2 linked regions of the Cricetulus griseus genome follow. The protein of the gene in region 2 interacts with the protein of the main gene of each other region in a pairwise test. Links are inferred from orthologs where the notes say so. Each region holds a gene or a part of one and is shown on either strand. Other genes may lie near its edges.

Region 1 (3,519 bases), on a different chromosome or scaffold from region 2:
TAAAGAAGGGTGTGAGAGAGAGAGAGAGAGAGAGAGAGAGAGAGAGAGAGAGAGAGAGAGAGAGAGAGAGAGAGAGAGACTGACCTGCCCATTGTTGTTTGATGCTCCCTTGTTGTTGGTTAGTTTTAATTTTCCAAAAGAGATTTCTTGCCGCATCCAGTGAGCCCCAGTGTTGGGGGAATCCGGATGCATGTAGACCCGGTTTCCTTGATAAAGAAATAGCTTGTTTACATATGTTCTGGGCACTGCCCAGTCCCAACTCCTTAGCACATGAAACACACACACACACACACACACACACACACACACACACACACACACACACACACCTTACTACACAGTGAAGTCCATTAGCTGTTTTTTTTTGGGGGGGGACATACTTTCTTCTATTAACTGGGGATTATTAAAATAGGTTTACTGTCCAGCCCTAACTCTGTACTCTGTACTACATCACACACACACACACACACACACACACACACACACACACACACACACACATACCCCTTCACAGTGTGGCCTATTAGCTGGGCTATTTTTTTAAGCCGCGATTTCTTCCCATTAACTGGGAATGATTAAAATAGCTTTTGCATAATCCTCCCCTTTCTTGCCGCTCAGTCTGTCCCCCTGTCCCTCTCTTCTTTAGGAAGTCATTGGCCGATCGTTTTTAAAGTCGCTCGAGCCAGTCCACAAAGGCTTTAATTAATCATTCTCACCTAAATAAGTGTCAAGAAAACGTGTTAATTGGAAGGACTTGCCTTGCACATTGGTGTCCGCTTTGCCACAAGGAACCCATTTGCCTCCTTGAAACCTCCAGTGATTGGGATCCGCCAAAATCACATCCACAAAAATATTGTAATGAGCGGTGGGATCGAGCCCAGAAATGTTAAAACTCAAAAAGGGAAACATGCGCCTGTTTAAATTAAGAAGGAAGAGAAAACAAGGAATAAAGAAAATAAATGTTAGAAATTAAATGCTAGAAGCGGGGCGCCAGATAGCCAAGCAAAACTTGTCCTCACAGTGTGCCTGAACGAATATTCGCTGATCTGGAAAAGGGTAGTGGGAGAGGGGAAGACATAAGGCCAAAGTCGGGGAGGCAGCAGCGAGTGCTCTGCAGTAGGGGGCTGGCAGGTATCAGTGCGAGGGTGAAGAGCGGGGTTGGCGACCTGCTTCTCCACCTGTCGGCACAGGCCAGCTTTGATGAGTTGTTCTAACGCCTGGCAGCGGCCGGCCACGGCTCTTCATCTTGCTCCAGTCACTGACTGACTCTCCGACCGACCGCAGTGGTACAGCAGACTCCCCGCCACCAACATCACCACGGTGGTTATTATCCCTTCCACTTTCCCCTTTTCCAAAACCAGCCAACTCCAGGGCACACCCGAGCGCCTTTTCACTCCCCGACCCCACATCGTCGCTGCCTGGCGGTCACAACTTGGGTGCGCTCGCTCAGGGTCACGCCTGAAACGGCGGCAGCCAAGAAAGTAGCATTACCTTCCCTGTTTAGTGATGATCATCTCCGTTTGATGCCGATGAAATTTCAGCCAAAGTGGCCTGTTGCACAGGTATACCTGCGCCTTGCCGGGCACCAACCCGGGCTGTGTGGAGGAGAACTGGTAGAACGGAGCTCCTTGGTAGGAGTGGCCGTACTGCTGCGGGTAGGGGTAGCCGGCCGTGGGGTAGCCCTGCGGCGAGGAGTTGGACAGCAGGCTGTTGTAAGCTCCGTTGGTGATAACCGGGTGGTGGGCCATGTAGCGACTGGGGCTGCCGATGGAGAAGGCGGGATGCGCCGGTCCGTGCTGGCCGGGGTACGGGAACATGGCACTGGGAGCAGTGGCCGCAGACTGTGGCTGGCTGGACTGAGAGAGGAGGTAACGATCTGCAGCAGAGCCATCGAAACTGTGACGAAGCTCAGAGACCCCGTCCAAGACAGGAGAGAGTTTACTTCTCTGGACGTCCCCTGGTGAGTCCTTGGAGTCAGGAAAATTGTCTGTATCTGACTGATTCGTCATCCCCCTGGTAATTTTTTTCAAAGGTGAACTTCTCTCCAGGTTGTCAGTGGTCGAGATAATGGGATGATCGTGCAAGACAAGCTCAGATCCGCCCGAATGTGGGTAGCTGCTGCTCACATTGAGAAATTTCTTGGAGAGCATGATAGAAGGAGAGAGGCAGTGCTCCAGCTGCATAGCTCTAGAACCTGAACGCTCGCCCTCCCGTCCCTGGTTTTTAAAGTCCTGTTTATCATAAACTAGGAATCCACAGACCCCTCACTAGACAGAAAGCACTTCAACCAGCAAATGCTTCTCAAAGGTTTGATTTACTTTTTTTTTTTCCCTGGGAGAAGAGATTGGCCAATTGACACTATGCAGCAATCAGAAAAGGCTCACTTTTGATCTTGCTGCTTATGCAGCCGATGAAACGGCTCCTGCCATTGGTTAGCTGCTGACAGTAATTTAATTAGATAGACATTAATTAGGATAATCACCTGGCTCCTGGTCGCGACGATCATGGCAAATTGAAGGGGATGATTTTATTGTTGGCTTGGGGGGTGGGGAAAGTGTGTTGGTTTACGTGAGCTCTGTTATGTCACCTTTAAGCTTTGTGACCACTGCTTTAGGAAGATTCAAAGATGTGCAATTTACTAAACATTTTTACCCCCCTTCTCTCTTTAGAGAGGAGGGGCGGAGGAGGGAATTCGATGATGCTAGGAGACTTTTCGGATCTGAATGAGCCAAATATTCAGTTGAATGTAACGATTTCAAGTGCAAAGTATACAAAGCGCGAGCCGGTGGCCTCTTCTCTCCCTGTAAAACTTCCAGAGTCTGTCTTTTCCAGTTAATACACAATAGCTCACACACCTGAGCCTGCTTTGTGAGTAGGTACTGCGTGTCCTTGACGCCCCCTCCCCCACCTTTAAACTACACGACTAAAATAAATAAATAAACAAACCGCCGCCGAAAGCCTCGGCGTTATGCTGGAGAGAGGAGAAGAGGAGGCGAAGCAGCTCACCCACCCATCAACCCACCTCGGGAAGGTTCGGTTTCCGGCTGGGGTACAGAAACAGTGACAATCTATGATCTCCTTTTTAAGTTTTGAAATAATCATAAGCCTCGCGCTGAAGTGCTTTAATGTATTTGCAGTCATGTTTACTGGGTCGTTACTAAATATTTTATCAGCCAACTTGGTTGCAGATCATCTGAAGAGCAGCTAGCTGGGGGCGGGCGCCATGTATCCTTCGAGTCCCACCGCACTTCCTCCTTTCGGAGGCACTGGCTTGGTGACAGGTTCATAAGCCTCGCCAGGAAAGAGGGCTGAATCCCCCGTGCAAATGGGTTCGCTAGAAGCGTTGATCTGGGGAGACAGAGTGGAAGTGGTGTCAAAGCAATCTTACTGAACTCGTGTGTGTGTGTGTGTGTGTGTGTGTGTGTGTGTGTGTGTGTGTGTGTGTGTGCGCGCGCGCGCGCGCGCTTGTGTGTGTATGTGTGTAATGTTTACATAATCCAGAGGGAGAGAAAAAGAATC
Region 2 (3,519 bases):
GATGCTCTTGCCTGCACCTCCCAGTGCTAGGATTGCAAATGTGCACTACTGACATTTTTTCTTGTTCTTAAACAAGACTTCATGTAGCCCAGGCTGGCCTCAAAGTCACTATGAAAAAAAGGTTGGCTTTGAACTGATCCTCTTGTCTCCACCTTCCCAAATTCTGAGATTACAGGCATGAGCCACCACTCCCAGTTCAAAACTCCCTGCTAAGGCCACACACTAGGCAAGCATTCAATCACTAAGCTATATCTCCAGCCTTGCTAGGCAAGCATTTTACCACTGAGCTACATCTCCAGCCTTGTTTCAATAAATTAAAAACCAGTTATTAATCCTGTATTTTCAGGAGAGTCTAATTTTTTTTCCATTATGAAAGAAGGTCTTTGTAGCCCAGGCTGGTTGGACTTCACTATGTAAACTAGGTTAACCTTGAACTCCTGGAAATTTTCATCTTTAGTTCACACTATATGGGAATTCAGATAGGTACCACAATACCTGACTGACTGAATTGTTTTTCCCAATGTGAGGAAGGGTGCCTGACAGATTCTATCTTTGTTAAGCCTATGGCGTACTCTTGGTTCTCTGGCATAATAGCAAATGCTTTCTTGGTAAGATGGAGTACTCCATCTTATGGCTCTGATGAAAGGATCTTATAGAACAACTGGTTGCTGAGTTTCCCAGTACCCTTTCAGCTATTCAGTGCTTTCAAGCTCATTAAAACAAAACAAAACACCCCTTCATTTTTTTTTGCAGCATTTTTTCCTGTGCAGCAAGAAGACTGATCTGAAGAGCCTAGACCTCAGCATAGCCGAGAAGCAAACCATCTTTTTCCACTGCAGTTTCTCTAGATTGCTGCACAGGACTAAGAGCTCATAATTTATATAGCTGCTCTAAGTAGGAGGAAGCCTGGAATCTACATAATTATTGTTTTTCTTCCCTAAAATTTGTTTCCACTACAGTCTCCTGTATCCCAGGATGGCCTCAGATACTCTATGTAACTAAAGATGACCTTGAGCTTCCGATCATCCCATCTAAGCATCCCAAATGCTGGATTATAGGCCTGCACCACCACACCTGCTTTTCTCTGTGCAGGGGATCAAACCCAGGGCTTCACCACTTGAGCTACTACATCCCCATCCCACACTTGAGTATTCTGAATGAATACTCATAATATATGACAGCTCTCTAGAGACATTTTGTGAAATGGAGCATTCCTAGCAGCAGCAGCAGCAGCAACAACAACAACAACAAGATGACTTAGAAATTGCTTTCCTTCTGCTTCTGCTAAACTGTCTGCAGATCAGATTTAAAGGCAATGCCAAATGGCTTGCTGCTGTTTCTCCATGTGTAACATGATGACACCTGAAGTCCTCATCGACTTTCTAAATTCAATAATAGTTTTGGGAAACATGAGATAGTTGAAAGAGGTAATTAAGGCAAAGAGATTAACCAAGAAATCTCTTAGTGAGAAGGACTGGTGAAAAAGCAGATATTTATGGGCTTGATATTTTGATTATTTTTAAATAAGTTCAAGTATTTGTGTGTGTGTGGGGGGGTACGGGTTAGGGTGTGGCAGAAGTCCAGCTTTTGACAGGTTATGTTTTGTTACTGTTAGTATTCAGTCATCTGTACTGGCCTGCCCTTGGGGTTTTGATAGGAGACACCTTCAGCTGCAGCCACTAAGAGCACCTCCTGTGCACATTCACTACATTCCCTTTTAAAAGGGCCCTGTCCACCTCCCATCTCTGTCTCTCTCTGCTTCTCTGTCCCTCCTTCGCTCCCACCTCTCTCCTGCTGCTCCTGTCCCCAGAGGCTGTCTCCCTTCTCCCTTTCCCCCTTTCCCATTCACTTTCCCCCAATAAAAAAATCCCCTTCACCCAAGCTCTGTTGCATGGCATCTTTCTCTCATGTGCCACTTTTTAAAAAATTACAACAGTTACAAAAAACAAAACCCAGGCATTAAATTATCTTTTTTGGTATTAGATTTCTGGTAGATATTGGCCAAATACTTAAGAGGGTAAGATTACGGACATTTAATAGATGATACACACACTCTCTTCTCTCAGTTAAAAACAGTGTCTGAAATGCCTGTCTGACTTCAGCCTGTTTCACAAGTTCACAAGTTCGGCTTTCTAACAGAATAGGTCATCTTTCCCCCTCTCTGTCTCTTGTTCTGTGGATGGAACCCAGGGCATGCCAGGCAAGCATCTACTTCTGAGCCGGAAAGACCATTCTTAAAGAATGGTAAGGCAAAGAACAAAGCTTCTGATTGTCCTTTCTCCCAACGGTGGAACAGGTCTTTAAATACCCCAAGTGACACTGAGTCATGGCACTTGAAGGTTTTCTTCCTGGTGTTGTAGGATGATCACAAAATAATACAGAGGGGCAAGAGGTAGCCACGTCTGGACGAAAATGCCATTCTAGAAAGATCAGAACACTTTGTAGGAGTTGAGGGCTCTGCCCTAATGATCTGAGGCTAGTCACTCAGCTTGTCTTTGAGCCTCCTTTCCTTACCCATGTGCAGATCTAACTGGAACCAGTATCTGACTAGCAGCTGAGCATTGAGAATTCTTAGATAACTCATTTTAGGATGCGATCTTTGATCGAGGGCAGTTGAATTTTGTACAGTTAGCAAAGCAAAGGATTTATCAAGCAAGTTTTACAATACAAAACATGAAATTGAGAACTGGAAGGGAGGGAATTGTTGCATCATAAAACAACAAAAACATACCATTCCTGAAGTTCAGGAGAAGGAATGAGACCTGCAGTTCCATTTTTGGAGTTTTCCAGTTTACCCTGCCACCAGTTGTGGTCATCCTTACTAATAATCTGAATGATATCACCAACTCGGAATCGGATGCCAGCTTCTTTGCAGGGGATGAGGTCATCCTTGGCTGGATCATATTCAAATTGTGCTCTTACATAGATCTATAAAATAGGAGTTTGTAAGGAAGGAGGCCACAGTGATGTGAAGGAAAACAGCGAGCACTAATCTAATAACCACACATCCAGATTCACAACACAAATAGGACATCAGATGGTGAAACAATGTATGGAAATAGGACACAAGAAACAGGGTGCCACATCTAATAATTACAGCTTCAACTTTGAGATTTATAATACTTGTTGAGTAAATTCTGCTTTGAGTAATAGGATGTGTGTATAGTATAGAGCAGTAGGCCAACCAATTTTAAAATTGGCTATGACTATGGTGATGGTATGGATATGTTGTCATGACCATGAGGCAGCCTTTAAGGCATGGAAACTGGCACTCAGGGTGGGTGGGTTTTTATCTTAAACTAGCAAGAACTCTCTGGGTTGGTATCTTGCTGTTGGATGCTGTCATGACAACTGGCAGTGTCTCTATACACTGCAGACAAAGTTATATGCAGCTCAAACAATATTAAAAAGTTCAAAATACCACTTTATTTCTTTAGAGGAAGTTTGGCTTTGTATTTGTGCTTTACTCTTGCGGGAAAATAAAGATGAATCGGAACCCTTGCTTTGTCAATGTAACAC

Evidence for each region.
Region 1: the proteins of Cask (region 2) and Tbr1 interact in a two-hybrid assay, tested with the Homo sapiens proteins (2 studies listed by BioGRID and IntAct). The link is inferred for Cricetulus griseus from reciprocal best matches to the Homo sapiens genes CASK and TBR1.

What each region holds. Positions count from the first base shown.
Region 1 is NC_048599.1:113,085,191-113,088,709, forward strand, and holds part of Tbr1 (T-box brain protein 1), read right to left. Parts: 5' UTR 2,184-3,519; coding exon 1,492-2,183; intron 914-1,491; coding exon 759-913; intron 207-758; coding exon 85-206; intron 1-84. UniProt on the Homo sapiens protein: Transcriptional repressor involved in multiple aspects of cortical development, including neuronal migration, laminar and areal identity, and axonal projection.
Region 2 is NC_048604.1:119,108,531-119,112,049, forward strand, and holds part of Cask (peripheral plasma membrane protein CASK), read right to left. Parts: intron 2,929-3,519; coding exon 2,732-2,928; intron 1-2,731. UniProt on the Homo sapiens protein: Multidomain scaffolding Mg(2+)-independent protein kinase that catalyzes the phosphotransfer from ATP to proteins such as NRXN1, and plays a role in synaptic transmembrane protein anchoring and ion channel trafficking.